4 linked regions of the Macaca mulatta genome follow. The protein of the gene in region 3 binds, or shares a complex with, the protein of the main gene of each other region. Links are inferred from orthologs where the notes say so. Each region holds a gene or a part of one and is shown on either strand. Other genes may lie near its edges. The genes, in order: ACAP2, DENND1B, RAB35 and RUSC2.

What was found.
Region 1: the proteins of RAB35 (region 3) and ACAP2 are in contact, whole or in part, in a crystal structure (PDB 6IF3), measured with the Homo sapiens proteins. The link is inferred for Macaca mulatta from reciprocal best matches to the Homo sapiens genes RAB35 and ACAP2. Residues at the interface, in NP_006852.1 of Homo sapiens: Arg3, Asp4, Tyr5, Leu8, Ile41, Gly42, Val43, Asp44, Phe45, Ile47, Lys58, Gln60, Trp62, Phe70, Arg71, Thr72, Ile73, Thr76, Arg79; in NP_036419.3 of Homo sapiens: Val715, Ala718, Asn719, Ala720, Asp721, Val723, Thr724, Arg727, Leu728, Arg730, Met731, Glu734, Met735, Ser738, Glu748, Thr749, Gln751, Arg755, Asp756, Gln759, Met760.
Region 2: the proteins of RAB35 (region 3) and DENND1B are in contact, whole or in part, in a crystal structure (PDB 3TW8), measured with the Homo sapiens proteins. The link is inferred for Macaca mulatta from reciprocal best matches to the Homo sapiens genes RAB35 and DENND1B. Residues at the interface, in NP_006852.1 of Homo sapiens: Lys10, Leu12, Ser17, Ser36, Tyr37, Ile38, Thr39, Thr40, Ile41, Gly42, Val43, Asp44, Phe45, Gln60, Trp62, Thr64, Ala65, Gly66, Arg69, Phe70, Arg71, Thr72, Ile73, Thr74, Ser75, Thr76, Tyr77, Arg79, Gly80, Thr81; in NP_001182144.1 of Homo sapiens: Met1, Arg4, Glu43, Ser47, Phe51, Val72, Leu73, Thr74, Asp75, Ile76, Glu77, Ser78, His211, Glu212, Arg213, Arg214, Gln242, His243, Ile244, Ile246, Leu249, His252, Leu253, Asp255, Tyr256, Cys258, Ala259, Pro260, Met261, Pro262.
Region 4: the proteins of RAB35 (region 3) and RUSC2 are in contact, whole or in part, in a crystal structure (PDB 6IF2), measured with the Homo sapiens proteins. The link is inferred for Macaca mulatta from reciprocal best matches to the Homo sapiens genes RAB35 and RUSC2. Residues at the interface, in NP_006852.1 of Homo sapiens: Asp4, Tyr5, Leu8, Phe9, Lys10, Ser22, Leu26, Asp30, Ile38, Thr40, Val43, Asp44, Phe45, Lys46, Ile47, Lys58, Gln60, Trp62, Thr76, Arg79, Gly80, His82; in NP_001129471.2 of Homo sapiens: Val997, Lys998, Asn1001, Asp1005, Val1008, Thr1013, Arg1015, Lys1020, Glu1119, Glu1155, Leu1158, Leu1159, Gln1161, Pro1162, Leu1165, Leu1166.

Annotation. Positions count from the first base shown.
Region 1 is NC_133407.1:3,461,701-3,465,634, forward strand, and holds part of ACAP2 (arf-GAP with coiled-coil, ANK repeat and PH domain-containing protein 2), read left to right. Parts: intron 1-550; coding exon 551-735; intron 736-1,631; coding exon 1,632-1,724; intron 1,725-3,934. UniProt on the Homo sapiens protein: GTPase-activating protein (GAP) for ADP ribosylation factor 6 (ARF6). Doesn't show GAP activity for RAB35.
Region 2 is NC_133406.1:55,404,725-55,409,243, forward strand, and holds the start of DENND1B (DENN domain-containing protein 1B), read right to left. Parts: upstream 3,192-4,519; 5' UTR 3,056-3,191; coding exon 3,000-3,055; intron 1-2,999. UniProt on the Homo sapiens protein: Guanine nucleotide exchange factor (GEF) for RAB35 that acts as a regulator of T-cell receptor (TCR) internalization in TH2 cells. Acts by promoting the exchange of GDP to GTP, converting inactive GDP-bound RAB35 into its active GTP-bound form.
Region 3 is NC_133416.1:127,394,808-127,398,741, forward strand, and holds part of RAB35 (ras-related protein Rab-35), read right to left. Parts: intron 3,243-3,934; coding exon 3,119-3,242; intron 1-3,118. UniProt on the Homo sapiens protein: The small GTPases Rab are key regulators of intracellular membrane trafficking, from the formation of transport vesicles to their fusion with membranes.
Region 4 is NC_133420.1:64,146,930-64,150,489, forward strand, and holds part of RUSC2 (AP-4 complex accessory subunit RUSC2), read right to left. Parts: intron 3,543-3,560; coding exon 3,357-3,542; intron 3,187-3,356; coding exon 3,046-3,186; intron 1,653-3,045; coding exon 1,576-1,652; intron 1,370-1,575; coding exon 1,195-1,369; intron 1,105-1,194; coding exon 999-1,104; intron 341-998; coding exon 294-340; intron 1-293. UniProt on the Homo sapiens protein: Associates with the adapter-like complex 4 (AP-4) and may therefore play a role in vesicular trafficking of proteins at the trans-Golgi network.

The sequences.
Region 1 (3,934 bases), on a different chromosome or scaffold from region 3:
TTTTAAGAGGATATAAGTAAAAAGTATAGAACAGATATGGCATTTTATGATGGTATCATAAATTAGAAGTTTATTTTATTTCTTCTTAAATTAATAATGCTATATGTTGTTTTAAAGTGGTCTTACGAAAAATTATGGCCATCAGTAGTGCTAGTTCAGTATGTGAAATTATTTCTTTGAGTAAAAATGAAAAAGTTACTTTCTATAAATGTTTAAGTATTTTTTCTGGTGATGTTTTCTACTCTGCAAAAAGCATGAGGGGAGTATAGAAATGAATAGCACAGAAATTAAGAGAAAGGAAGAGTATCATATTAATATTTGTGATTTTTCAGTTAGGTTATTGTTTATATTTCACTTGAGTGTGAAATCATAGTTCATTAGGTATTTGGAAGGAAAACATAATATATATGTGTATAATGTCACAGATTCAGTTTTAACCAGTATTACATTCAGTGACTTTGTTTGAATATATTCAGTATATAATGGTTTGTTTAGTATTAGCCATGCTAAGAGGTTAAGCACAACATCATGACATTTTTATGTATATCAGACAGGAGAAGGAGGCATATATCAAAGCAAAATATGTGGAGAGGAAATTTGTGGATAAATATTCTATATCATTATCACCTCCTGAGCAGCAAAAAAAGTTTGTCTCTAAGAGTTCTGAAGAAAAGAGGCTGAGCATTTCTAAGTTTGGGCCAGGGGACCAAGTCAGAGCATCTGCCCAAAGTTCAGGTATTGCAAACTTTCTTACTGTGTCTATAGCTGTTTTCTTAAGCTCAGATCACTTTTATAATCCCTGAACTAATAGTCATTGTCATATTTTTTAATGTTAAAAACCTGTTCCCTTCTACATATTCTAAGAAAAACTGAATTTCTATGTCTTTAAAATAGTTAACTTTAAACAATGCCATAATATTTCACCTTTCTAGGTAATACGTATATTCTAAGGAATAAAACTGCTTAAAATGCAAGGGGAGATGGGAATTGTAAACCTGACATTCCAAAAGCCCTAAGTATCTGATTAACTACCTGATTTCCTTCCTATTTTTTCCTCCTAAATTTTTTCCCAGTAACGTTTTTTCCTGCCCTTTTCCCTTCTTATGGCCTGCTTTGTGCTTTGCTAACTTGCATGTCCCCAGTGATTGCTGTAAATAGCGACGAGGCCAGGCGGGAGTCTCTGTTTTGTCCTGATGAGCTAGATTCACTCTTCTCCTACTTTGATACTTCTTCAAAACTGCGTAGTAGTAAGTACTACTCTTGTGGAGCATTCCAAGTCTGTGCCAGTGGTCATTGTGCGGTGTGGCCATCTCTGTAGATGTTACCCATTGTCTGAGAATTACACATTCTTACAGTCATATCATAAATTAAGCTCTTTACTACCCCTGACATATTATGGAGTAATGAGATGTGTTACAACTCTGAAAATAAGTTTATTTTCAGGTTTTGTGATTGATTTATATCTTGATAAGCTAAGTGTTGAAAAGGGTTAAAATTATATTAAACGCATTCTACTCGTGGTGCCTGAGTTCATGTTGATGTGTAAGAGCTCATTTTAAAACCTTGTTTGTGGGAGATTGTTTTCTAAATGGCATGAACTTTAATCATTAGTTAATTTTTCTTTAAAACAGTCAAAAGTAATGACAGTGGAATTCAGCAGAGCTCTGATGATGGAAGAGAATCTTTACCCTCCACAGTGTCAGCCAATAGTTTATATGAGCCTGGTGAGTTCTGATGAAACTCAATGTTAATTGGTTTTGTTTGCTGAAAAATGCATGTGGTAAATGTCTATTCTTGATTTTATATATATATATATATTTTTTTTTTTGAGATGGAGTTTTACTGCCCAGACTGGAGTGCAGTGTTGTGATCTTGGCTCACTGCAACCTCTGCCTTCCAGTTTCAAGTGATTCTCCTGCCTCAGCCTCCTGAGTAGCTGGGATTACAGGAACCCACCACCACACCCAGCTAATTTTTGGGTTTTTAGTAGGGACGGGGTTTCACCATGTTGGCCAGGCTGGTCTCAAACTCCTGACCTCGCGATCCACCTGCCTTAGCCCCTCAAAGTGCTGGGATTTGAGCGCCTGGCCCTACTCTTGATGAAATATTTTAAAGGAAGGGGTTAGTTTTTTAGAAGGTAACTAGGGGAGGAGTAATACTCTTAAATGAGAAAGCAGCAATTTCTTCATATTTGGAAATTCTGTCCTAGTTATATATTGTTCATACATTTTTAAAATTTTTATTTATTTATTTATTTTTGAGATGGAGTCTCACTCTGTCACCCAGGATGGGGTGCGGTGGTGTGATCTCTGCTCACTGCAAGCTCCGCCTCCCGGGTTCACGCCATTCGCCTGCTTCAGCCTCCTGAGTAGCTGGGACTACAGATGCCCACCACCATGCCTAATTTTTTTTTTTTTTTTGTATTTTTAATAGAGATGGGGTTTCAATGCGTTAGCCAGGATGGTCTCGATCTCCTGACTTCGTGATCCACCCACCTCGGCCTCCCAAAGTGCTGGGATTACAGGCGTGAGCCACCGCACCTGGCCTACATTTTATTTTTTATTTTGAGTCTCACTCTGTTGTCCAGGCTGGAGTGCAGTGGCACAATATTGGCTCACTGCAACCTCCACCTTCTGGGTTCATGCAGTTCTCCCACTTAGCCTCCTGAGTAGCTGGGTTATAGGTGTATGCCACCGTGCACAGCCAATTTTTGTATTTTTAGTAGAGATGGGGTTTCACCATGTTGGCCAGGCTGGTCTTGAACTCCTGACCTCAAGTAATCCACCTGTCTCAGCCTCCCAAAATGCTGGGATTATAGGCATCAGCCAGCACACCTGACCCATAATTGTACATTCTTCCAAGCCTCATGGTATGTGCTAAAATTGCCTTACCAACTGCCATGGATAATTTTTAATCCACGTGAACTGTGTGTCTTATTATCCTTTATCATTCCTTGTGGCTGTCCTATCAGGAGAATGAGATCGGCAACTCCCTCCCCATTAGATTTCTCTTTTGACTTGTGCTTTATGCCTTTGTTCTCTCTTCCATGATTTCAGTGATTTTGGTCCTGCAGAATACTCAGGGGAGTCAGCACTCCTTAAATTATTTGAAGTGCTTGTAGTGCAAATTGGGATGGAATTGGACCATCCTAGGAATGAAGGGAGGTTTGGTCTAGTAGTAAAAGTTTTTATGGATTCTTGCTGCTTCTTAAGTCCCAACATTTAGGAATATACTCAATTTTAATATAGTACAGAGTAATTAGCCTATCCCTTGGATACTGGCAAGAACAGAAAGGCCTGACGTATCAGTGATTGTCTTTATAGGAGAAGAAGGTGGAATGTTGGGGAATATCTATGTGAAAATCTCCCATAAGCTCATTATGATAGATTAATGGTTTCTTATATCATAGCTTTATTTTTTAAAAATTATGATAAAATGCACATAAAATTTATCTTAACCTTTTTTTTTTTTTTTTGGAGACTGGGTCTCACTCTGTTGCCCAGGCTGGAGTGCAGTGGTGCAGTCTCAGCTCACTGCAAGCTCCGCCTCCCAGGTTCAAGTGATTCTCCTGCCTCAGTCTCCCAGGTGGATGGGATTACAGGTCCCTGCTACTATGCCTGGCTAATTTCTGTATTTTTAGTAAAGACGAGGTTTCACCATGTTGTCCAGGCTAGTTTTGAACTCCTGACCTCAAGTGATCCATCCGCCTCGGCCTCCCAAAGTGCTGGGATTACAGGCATGAGCCACTGTGCCTGGCCCATCTTAACCATTTTTAAGTGTACAGTTTAGTGGCATTAAGTGTATTCACATTAGTGTGCTACCATTACTGCCATTCATCCACAGAACTCTTTTTATCTTGTTAAACTGAAACTATACCTATTAAATATTTTTTTTCTTTTTCTGCCAAGAGCTCATTTTTATTGATGTATTTGTG
Region 2 (4,519 bases), on a different chromosome or scaffold from region 3:
AAAATGCATTATGAATGTTGTTTTATACAGTCCATGTTTGTTTAGATTTACTCAGAACTTTACTACTTACTTTGCCCTTCTTTTGTATTTTCATCTTAGATCTTCCATCTAGGATCACTTTCTTTCTGCCTAAAGTTCTTTCCCTTTTTTTTTCTTTCTTTTTTTTTTTTTTGAGTTGGAATGCATTTATTTATCCCTCATTCTTGAAAAATATTTTCAATGATGAATTCAAAGTTTACTGTTATTTCTTTCTGCATATTATCAATATCATTACACTATCTTCTAAGTTCCCTAGTAACAATTGGAACTTTGAAAGTAATCTTAAAATGTCATCTGTTTTTTCTCTCTGACTGCATATATGATTTTTCTTTTTTGTCTTTAGTTTTGTATAGTTTCACTGTGAAGTATCTAGTTGTAGATTTTTATTCATCCATCTTTCTTGGTTTCTTTAATTTTCTTGACTCTAGATTGGTGACTTTCATCAGTTCTGGAAAATTCTGGATTCCTTTCTTTCCATTCCTTCTGGGACTCTGATAACACATGTATTTTTCTACCCTCCATGTTTGTCAAACATCTCTTTTATAGTATGTCTCTCTTTTATCTCTCGAGGCTGTATTCTGGTAAATTTCAAAAATATTCTGTTCACTAGTTCTTTCTTCAGCTTTGTCTCATTTTCTGTCAAAGTCATCCATTTAGTTTCTAATTTATGTTATTTTTATTTCTAAAGTTCTGTTTGGTTATTTTCCAAATCTGTATTCTCTTAACTCATTTTTTCAGCCTCTCTTTAATTTATTAAAAACATTTAATATATATAGTTAAAATTCTATTTCTAAATATTCCAATATCTGAAGCATTTGTGAGTCTGCTTCTACTATCTGATCTTTTTTCTACTTGTTCTTACTTATGGTCCCTTGATTTCTTCTATGTATGTGATTTCTTTTTATGTTATGTGATCCTTAGAACTTTATATATAGAAATTGAGTGACAGCTGAAATGAAAATGAGTTCTCTGGAGAAGATACTAATTTACTGCTGGTAGATGCCTGGGATCACTAGCAATTCAGAACCATAAATACTAAATTCTCAGGTTGAAATTCTTCAGATCATTCATGTCAGACCTGGTTTGTAGCTATGAATCCTCTGGGAAGCTTTTTTACCCTTAACTCTGCTCCATTGTTTGAGACAATTGTCCTTGAATACCTTTGGGGTATTGGCTTTATGAAGAGTATCCTATTGGATTTCCTACATTAGGAAGGGTCTGAAGCCACGTAACACCATGATAACAGTTCATGGTCTTCCAGTTCATCCAGCTTAGGAAAAACCCTAAAGAGGAAGATGAAAGGTGGCTTTTTTTTTTTTTTTTGAGACGGAGTCTCACTCTGTGGCCAGGCTGGAGTACAGTGGTGTGATCTCGGCTCACTGCAACCTCCACCTCCTGGGTTCAAGCAATTCTTCTGCCTCAGCCTCCTGAGTAGCTGGGACTACAGGCACCTGCCACCACGCTTAGCTCATTTTTCTATTTTTAGTAGAGACAGGATTTCACCATGTTGGCCAGGATGGTCTCCATCTCTTGACCTCATGTTCCACCCCCATCGGCCTCCCAAAGTGCTGGGATTACAGGGAAAGGTGGCACTCGTGGCTACTTTTATTTGTCCCCCATCCTCCACCCCTAAATATTTCCACTTGATTGCTTGCTCTTTAATGCATTGTAAACTTTTTAAAATACTTAATTCTGAATTTTTAGTTGATTTTCATGAAAGTTTTGATCAGACTATAATGAATGATTACTTAGTTCTGACTATAGTGTCATGTAAAATGGACTAATTGCAACTTTTTATCCACCTAATAATGTCCACCTTCCTCAAACCATGTCCAAAAAGTCCCCAACTTATATATCCTTATATATTAACGGTGTAGAGAAACCCAAGTTCAGGGCTTTTAGTAAGCCAACTGCCCTGATTTCCAGTATACTATGACAACTGGAAAGGTAACCCCTGGCTTCCCAACCCCAACCACTTATTCATTGAATCCGTGTAGTAATATGCCTTAGACAGAAGTGAAGAGTTACTAATACCCAGGACTACTAAAGTTGACAGCTCCTTTCCCTTCTGAATATGAAATAATAAACACTATTATAAACTCTAGAATGGTATTTTTAAAAATAATACTATTAATAATGCTTCAGGTTCAATATAACTTTACTAGACTCATAAGCCTCACCAATATATATTAAGATTTTGAGTTCTAAACAATTAACTTAGAAATGAATTTTTTGAGGCAAGCATCTCATAAGTTGTAGCCAACATGTATCCAAGTCAGGTATTTCCTAGATTGTAACTCTACACAACCTCTGATTAGTATTCTTAGGTGAAATTTATGAATAGTATCACCACCTTCATTTATTATAGAAGAAAAGTTATGAAGTATTTAACAAATCAAATTTATTGACACTCTTAGGAAACTATCTTTAAATTATTTTATCAGGACCTGCCTTTTAATATTGACTGAGATAGTGTTGCTAAGGAAAACATTCTCCTGGCATGTTGTCCTTTTTATACTTAGCAGCAATATCATGAATTTGAATCTGAAGGTAAATCTCCCTCAACAAGACATGTGAAATACTTTTAAAATAAAGAGAGATGGAGGTAAGGATTTGGGAGCAATATCTTCCCTGAAAGTATGCCTTTCTGAGTTGTTTCACACCTCAAAGCTTATAGAGTTAGCATTCTATGTTGATTTAAAATCAAATTTAATAAAAACGGTTGTCTTCCAGTTTGTGGACAAAAGAACTCAGATAAATTTTGACATCTTTACTACGAAATCTGAACATATCCAAATATCTCTAACATTCAAGGGGTAAATGATGATATTTGTTTATTTTGCTGTTAAACTTTTAGTAAGAAAATATAGTAAAGTTATCAGAAATAATACAGCACAGCAAAAGATCTTCTTCTGCCTTTTTCAGGTGATTTGCCAAAAATCGTAAATAAATTTTCTTACCTCTGACCAGCTTCTGCATGTCCTCCCTTATCTTTGTTCCTCAATCTGCCAGACATTGTAGAGCTTAAAATAGTCCTTGGAGTTCAGAACAAAGAATAATTGAAGCAGAGTGTCACCAACAGATGGTAATCAGTGGAGTCAAATTTTCTTCAGAGATTCTTTAAGGATTCTCATTTGGACTTCAAGAAAGAGTGCTGTGTTTGTGTAACCCTGAGGCATTGCATGGGAAAGAATTTCCCAACCCCACCTACAAGATACTCCACATGAATACAGTCTTCCTTGTATGGCGGCTCTGCTCACACCCATTTAATACTCTCAGGAGAATGAGTAATCACATCCAATGAGCAATGTTATTAGAATTTACTGGAAGGAAACATAAATGATCATCTAACATGATGATAATAGTTCAACAGAATCAGCAGCCCCTATAAGCAACCTTAGTACTAATGTAAATAGAGAGATTATCAAAACAAATTGCTATGTGCCAAGTACTGCTTTCCTAAAATATGAGAAAATAACTAGGCAAACATTACATGCATTTGTATATGATCGATTCTAGAAGGGAAAAAATGCAACATTCCAGCAAATAGAACTCAGTCAAATACCAGGTCAAACGGTATAATTCCACAGCAGAAGTTCCTATGAATCATAAACAGAGATTTGAAACTCCAAAACAGATGACAAACTCCCAGTCTCTTACTATTGCAAATTATAACAAGATAAAAATGAACAAGGACTGAGAGTTCTTCTGGGCTTCAAAAGTTTGGACATCATCTTTCTCTCTGCTGTTGTTTTTGATGTCACAGACCCAAGTCTTAGGCAAGTAAGACTTGCCCAAAAATGGTCTTATCAGACCATTTTGTAATCTTCTGTGGGAAAGAAGGAACAGCAGAATTGTAGTGCTGTGAAACTGATCAAGGTCTTCTTAGTTTGGTGAGAACTTACATGTTTCCTTGTAAAAAGGATGCAGTCTCACCTGACTTTCTTCATTCACGGTGCACAATTCCAGTAGTTTCTTCCTTTCTTCTTGAGATTGCCAATCAAGACAACTGGACTTGGCTGGAATGGGAAGGAGGATTTTGGACCCATGTTCCTGTCCGTATGCCTGACCATAGGCATGTGACTTACTAAAATTCCTGCATCGGTGTATAGTGACTTCGTTCTGCCTGCTGCACAGCTGTTTCCTGGGCCTTCCCTTCACTTCCCTCTTGGACTGAGTTATGGATCAGGAACATATAACATTAGCATGTATACTGTGCATAATAATTATACTGTGTTCTCCCTATGGTTACTTAATAAAACCACCAAATAGGTGCTGCTAATTCGGATTCTGTGATGATGTAGGTACAGCCATTGATTATTACACAACCCATTTATATACCTATCTGATTTTTAATACAAACATGTTGTACTTCCTCTTTAAATAAGCAGGCATTAATTATCACATAATTTATGCAAGAATTCATGAGGAGAGGCTTAATATTAGAATTAGTAGGATGGTTTTAAATCAAGTGGCCTAC
Region 3 (3,934 bases):
CGCCAGAGCCACAGGAACAGGCGACTGTCCCCTGCCAGCAGAGGAAGCCCAAGGAGTGGATGGCTCTGCAGACTCTCCTTTGCTGAAGATGATCAGAGATGCCAAGAAACGCCTACAACCATGGCCCCGGCACAGAGCCCCCGCGGCTCCCTGGGCGCCTCCGCCTCATCTGGGGCCCAGGACAGGGGCTTTATGTAAGAGCAGAAAATGTGTCTGGGGATGAAGTCAGGGGCTCAGAGCTCTGGCTAGGAGGAACCAGAGCACCGAGGCTTCCCATGGCCACCAGGAATCGCCTTCACTCATGGGGACTCTGCTCTAGGCCAGGCACAGAGCTGGGGGCTTGGGATCCATGACCTTATTAATCTCTGCAGCCACCTGATCCAGCAGACCTCAGGTTGGCCATGTGACCAGCGAGGACGTGAGGCTGAGTGCGGCGGCCAGCTGGAAGTCCTGGCGCTCAGGGCTGACTCCCAGGCCCAATGCCAGGGCCTTGCCTTCCTTGTCACTTCTCCCCTCACCTCCACCCCACCCGCACCTCTCAGGGCTGGCAAACCTCAGCTTCTGAGAGCAAGAACTCGAGAGGGGGTGACCACAGGGCTCTTTCTCACCAGGCTAACAGGATGCGGTTTCGGTTTCTCTTTGAATGCCCTGCGTCGGAAAAAGTCACGCTACTACATCCTGACTGCCCCATTCCTGAAAACTCCTCATCTCACCAAAACTCCTTCCTTCTTTGCCAGTGACCATCAAAGGGCGTCGAGACTTCCAGGGGCCCCTCAGTGCGCCCTGCTGGGCCTCCTGCCTCATGAGGGCCAGAGTGGGACTCCAAGATGGAGCTACCTCTCTGCTTCCCCAGACAGGTGGGACTCCATCTGGGGCCCAGCAGCTGCCCACAGGCTGCCCCTTCCCAAGCCCCCTGGGAAAACCCATGATGCTCCCAAGAAGCCGAGTGACTCCTCCCCACCTCCCCACAGATGGAGGAACCAGTTCACCCTCTTCGCGCCCTGCCCAGCCTGGAAAGCAGCTGACTGCATGGTGACAGGGAGGGGCTGTGGCTCCTCCTGCTGAAAGAGCCTCAGACCCCCCCAGGCCCCACAGCCCTGCCCAAAGGGTTCATTCCTCATGGCCACGGGCCTCCAAACCTCTGCTGCCCTGACCTCCACCTGGTTTGAAGGCACAGGATGGGGCGGGAAAGCAGGGGTACCACCTGACCAGCTGGTGCAGGGCCTCGGCAGCCTCAGGGCCAATCCTGAGTGCCCCCAACCCCCGCCCCCCGAGTTAGGAGGCTTCTTCCTCCCTGGGCCTGTTTTCCTGTCCATAAAATGGAGATAGTCACAGGTCTCTCTACCGGGATTAACCGAAATAAAGCAGCTGAAATCCTAGCGACAGGCCCAACCCAGAGCAAGGACGCGAGAGGTCAGCACCCAGACCAGCCCTGGCCAGAGCATGAGGGCTTGTCTCGCCTGGGCTGCGCTGCCCAAAGCACTGATGCCAGCCCTGCCCCAGCGTCCTCCGCAGGTTCTCACTGGCAGCTGCCAAGACATGCAGGCCACAGAGCCCTCGCTCACGGGACTCATCAACAGTCACCACACAGCACCACACCCGGGCGACCCCAGGACTGGGAGCTCCCAGGGATTCGGGGCATCACAGGCCGCAGCACAAATGCGCTCAGCATAGGGTGAACCCAGTGACAAGCCCTCTGCCTCGACTCCAGCCCCAGGAGCTGCTCGCCCAGTGCACCTGTCCCTCCTCCAGCAGCCCTGCTCTCCCCCACACTCCCAGCCACCCATGGGGGCGCTGCACCCCACACTTCCCGCCCTTGGGAGATGCCGAGGGGTCCGGGGTGGGCAGCCAGCCTGGGGAGTACCCAGCTTTCATGCTGTGGGGAGGGAGGGGACCGCTGGCCGGGACTTCCTCATTCGCCTTCCTGAGGTCACTTCCAGAGAGAGCCGAGGAGGTGTCTGTGGAGCCAGACAGCGCCCCTCACTCTTCACAGGCTACTGTGTGGAGCACAGGCTCGGCCGATGGGAGGGACCCCTCCAGGGCACCCTCTGTCAAATGGGATGACAGCAGCACCGAGCACACGGAGCTGCAGACACCAAACCCCGGCCACGCACGTTGACGGCTGCGGCAGAGCACCCAGCACCCTCCACATGGAAGCCAATCCCAGAGGCAGTCCCTCCAGGAAACGAGCGCAGAGAGCTTCGGCAACTTGCCTAAGGACACACAGTCCAACAGCTCCAAATCGGTCCCTTCAGACCCCGCTCTTCCCTAAAACCTGCTCCATTAACAACGCAATAACCAGGAGCTGCTCCGAAGGACACTGTCCATCTGCGCTGGAGCCCAGCTTCCCCCGGCCTGCAGCTTAGCCACAACGGCGGGCAACTGGTGGGCGGCCGGATTTCCCAGGAACAGCTTTAAGGGGAGGGAAGGGCCTGCTGACATGCACCAACAGGTCTCTGGACAGCGTCACCTCCAAGGCATCAGGGTGGGTGACGGGAGCCTGCACAGGCCAACTCCAGCTGCCATAACTGACACCTACCAAGAGGAATTGTCAGTGACTAAGTCCTGGGCGGGCAGGGCACTCTGCAACCCCCTAGTAAGGCAAACGCTATTCTGCTCCCTCTGTAAGGTGACGGCGCAGTGGGCTGGAGGGTCGGCTGACTCTCCAAGGAGGCTGAACATGGCCACTGTCCGGCCATCCGGCCAGACTCCAGCCAGGGTGCTCAGCGACTCCCCCTACAGCATTCCCCTCACACCTTCAGGACTGGGAAGGGTGCAACCAAACGCCATCTACTACAGCCAACAACAGGCTCACTTCCCGACAGCCTCAGGGACCCTCAGTGACATTTCCACCATGCAGGCACCAGTCGCTCAACCATGTCCACAGGTCAATGATGTGGGTTGGGTGGGACGGGGCGGGCACAGGTCAGTGGCGTGGGTTGGGTGGGAGGGGGCGGGCACAGGTCAGTGGCGCGGGTTGGGTGGGAGGGGCGGGCACAGGTCGGTGGCGCGGGTTGGGTGGGAGGGGGCGGGCACAGGTCAGTGATGTGGGTTGAGTGGGAGTGGGCGGGCACAGGTCAGTGGCGCGGGTTGGGTGGGAGTGAGCAGGTGGACTCACGTGGAGGTGATGGTGCGGAAGCGCTCCTGCCCCGCTGTGTCCCAGATCTGCAGCTTCACCTTCTCTCCATTGATCTCCACGGTCCGGATCTTGAAATCCACTCCGATCGTGGTGATGTAGCTGCCTGCACACACAGGGCAGTTAACGAGGCCCGAGGCGGTATCCTCCCAGGCCCCGAGCCCCACACTGCACACAACACACCCCCAGGCTCCCCCACTCTCCTGACTCATTACATATGCCTGGCACATTCTAGGTCCCAGGGACACAGCCCTGAACATCCTTGTTCACAAGGTCCCTCCACACAAGTGAAGGAGGGAGACAGGATGCAAGGAAACAAACAAAGGGGACAATTTCCAAGAGTGAATAGTGACACATAGGAAATAACACGGGATGGGACTGGTGGGAGCGGGACAGGCTCCTTTAGAGTGGCTAGGTGGGGACACACCAGCTGTGTCTGAGAATGGTAGACCTACAGGCACTCTGGGTTTTTCTTTTCAATTCAAAGAAATTTTAGGGCCCTCAAAATTCACTTCAAAACACACAAATAGGTCATGAGCTACAGTCCAAAAACCACTGCTCTAGGCAGGGGAGATAGTAGCAAAAACAGCCGTGGGTGGGGGTGGTCACGTGAGCTCAAGCCCAGGGCCCAAGGCAGACAGAACGTGGTGAGGCCAGATCTTGGACCAGTGTGCCACTTCCAAGAACATGGACTTTCTCTCGTGTGTGCTGGGGAGGCACCAAACAGTTTTGATCGGGGCATGAGCTCCTGCATATTAAATGGCTCTTTTGCAGCATCTGTGGGAAAAAATTGTTTTT
Region 4 (3,560 bases), on a different chromosome or scaffold from region 3:
AGATGGGGTTTCACCATGTTGCCCAGGCTGATCTCGAACTCTTGACTTCAGGTGATCCACCTGCCTCGGCCTCCCAAAGTGCTGGGATTACAGGCCTGAGCCACCGTGCCTGGCCCAAGGTTTTAACTCAAGCAGAGGCTGGGGAAGGCCTTGGGTGGAAGCCTGAGGCTCTGAGGATGAACGCTTGTGTCGTCCCCCTCCCCACCTCCAGCAATGAAAAGAGCTCTTCCTTCCTCTTTTGTGCCTCTGAATTCTGACCCATTGAGTTTGACCTGCAGGGTTCTGGGCATTACCTTCATGGTTATAGAGGTGATTAAACCAGAACTCCAGGGACCGGATGCTGTAGGGAGACAGGTGAAGACAGTTGAGTCTTGTGTGAATACAGCCAGATAAGGAGACAGATCCAGGGGGCCAGGCACAGGAAGAATAGGTGAACGCACCCTTCCATGGCACGATTCATTTCACCTAATTCCAGAGAGTCAGTGGGGATGTGTGGAGGGAGATGGACATGTGATTTACAAGCCAATTGCTTCCCCCTGGAGTGAAGTCAGCCTGCAGTAGACCTAAGAAATCAAGGTGGCTACTGTGTGAAAGTACAGGCAGCTCAGGGCCAAAGGAGATGGCCTGGGCCCATACCTGAGAAAGCATGTTACTAGGATGTGGGTCCCAAGGTGGACTTAGGGTCAAGCAGGATTTGGAAGTGGTGCTGGAATGGAGAGGATCAGGGTTTACAAGGTCCAGAGAAATTAAGAAACCCAACTAATTTCCGAATAAGTCAGATTACAGATTTGTAAAAGCAGCCCACGCTGGTGACCAGTGTCAGAGTCATGGGCACAGTGGGAAGGCAGTGACTTACTGAGAGGTCATAGCAGACTGGGAGGACCCTCCAGATCCACCCTTTCTGTCTGTCCAGGGAGTTGGTTCCTTGGCACAGGCAGAGCCCGGGGGTCGGGGGCAGAGCAAGTTGTTTAGGGGATCTTGCCGCTCTGTGCACTCACTTGAGCAGGCCGAGGATGAAGGCGTTGAAGCGCATGGTATGACTGGTGAGCTCTGGGAATTGGCTGACTTTGTTGTAGAGGCCATGCAGGACCTTGGTGGATGGGCCTGGGAGGAAGCCAGGGTTGCAGGTCACATGACCAATTTCTGGAACCCTAAATTCAGCCCCGGGTCCCCGTCTTGGCACCCAGCACCTACCTAGCTGTGTGGAAGCCTCAACCACACTCCATGGCATGTTCTTACGCTGCCCGATGATGACGTCCAGTACAAAGGCCTTGAGCCCATCCTCCAGCACAGCGCGGACAGCAGGGCACAAGTACTTCAGAACCAGGTGGCCCACATTGGGGCTCACAGAACTGTTTCCCAGCTTTGCCTGTAGGTGTGGTAGGGAAGTGCAGTAAACTGCCTCAGGCCTGACCGTGGTCCTCTCATGGCAGGCCCTCATGGTTCCCCTCTTGCCATCCCCATTCCTAAGTACCCAACCCTGGGCTCTAAATGCAAGACAGCAAGGGAAGGTGGTAGCGCAGGACAGGTAAGGGCGTGCAGGCAGAGCTCAGCTCTTCACATTTCCTCGCCTACCTTCACCCCGGGATCCCGGCTTGTGCCAAAATGGGCCACAATGAGGTCCACAGCGGTGTTAACAGCTTTTACCAGCCCTGCAAGGAAGAATGTGATGTGACAGGTCCCTGAGCAAGTCCTTAGCCAACTCAGCTGGGGCTGAAACTTCAGCGGGGGTGGGAAAGGGCTCCCACACTTACTCAGTCTCCACACCTGCATGTGGGTCTCATCAGAACATTCAGGCCTGGCCCTTTTCTGGTTCTACCCAGTTCTTAAGCTCTTCCTGTCTACTTCCCAGCCTGGAGCCACCTCAATGATGCCATTGTCAAGCCTCCCAATGTCCTCACCTCTCAGTCCTCTTATTCCAATCCTGGCTCAGGCCAACTATCAGTTTTCTCCACTCTGAGAAACCAGGCCACTGACCTGAAGAAAACCCAAGTCCCTCACACCAGTGCCAGACAAGGGCGATTCTTTGATACGTGCTTTGTCAGCACTCCCTGCCATACCCTCAAGTTGCCATGTGAAATCGACACCACTCCTCTCAAGCCCTTGGTTCTGCTTCAGAGAACAGGGGCCCCTAGTTATAAACTCTTTTAACTTCCCTCTGCCTCCAAAATTCGTAACAATCTCATATGTACACCCCTCACTCCCCTGCCCACTTGCATCCCCTTCATGTCCTGGAGGAAGGTGGCTGTTTCCCTTCTTGCCCGGGTTCTTTCTCCCTGAGCTCTGATTCTCCCCTTCTGCCTTTGCAGGGAACTTAAGCTCTCTTCACAGGCTCATCTTCAGCCCACAATTATGCTCAGTTCTCTCCATCTCCCTAAAAATGTTCTTAGAGTGGGTCTTGTCAGTCTTCATCTTACTAGATGTCACCAACACGCTTACCCAAGCTGCCAGGCCCTCTAGTACCTTCACCTGCCCCTCCAAGAGCACTGAGGCATTTTTTGATGACATGGAAGCCTCCTCATGAGACTTTGCTCACTGCAGGAAGGGACTGGAGCCCGACTCCGAAAGCGTCTGATGAATGACCCTTGCTCAGTCATATGCACTCATGATATACAGCTTTCTCCTCCGACCCTAGAGCCTGGAGATTTGTTTGTTTGTTTTTTTTTGAAATGGAGTTTTCACTTCTGTTGCCCAGGCTGGAGTACAATGGTGTGATCTCAGCTCACTGCAACCTCCACCTCCTGGGTTCAAATGATTCTCCTGCCTCAGCCTCCCGAGTAGCTGGGATTACAGGCACCCACCACCACGCCCAGCAAATTTTTTTTGTATTTTTAGTAGAGATGGGGTTTCACCATGTTGGCCAGGCTGGTCTCGAACTCCTGACCTCATGATCCACCTGCCTTGGCCTCCCAAAGTGCTGTGATTACAGGCTTGAGCCACCGGGCCCAGCCAGCACGTAGAGATTTAAGACTGGCTAGGTAGTAGGGCAAGTGTGAGGAGGTAGTGACAGCAGAGTCCCTGGCCTGAGCTGGGGGTTATATGCACCTTTTTTCTGAAGCAGGTCAATGGAAATGGCCTCTGAGCTGCCATCTGGGGACAGACAAAACTCAGCTGGAGGCTTCTCCGTCAAGGAAAAGGGGTCCTGGAAGTCAGGGCAGGTCAGTGGAAACGGCTTCAATGCTTGGCCTGGAAAGAAGAGAAAAGTCAATCCTGAGCAACTCTCGGTGCAGGAGTTCCAGCCCAGTTCAGTGCCTTGTACTGTCTGAGACATGTTCCTTTGGGACTGACCCCTTCTCTAGCCCTTCCCAGCCATGGCAGAGCCTGCCCCGGGTGTACTGGGGACCCTGCTCACACACCATTCAGCCGGCAGTTCAGATGGCTGGCAGCACTGAGGGAGCCAGGGAACTCAAAGATAGGGTTTCTTCGGGCCAGCCGAGCTTCTTGTGATCTTCGGTCTAGGATCCCTGACAAACCGGGTGGCCCTAGTGGGTTCTTCCTCCTGTATTCCCGCCACTTAAGGGCTTGAGGGGATAGGTGGTTGGCTGGAAGCAGACAGATCA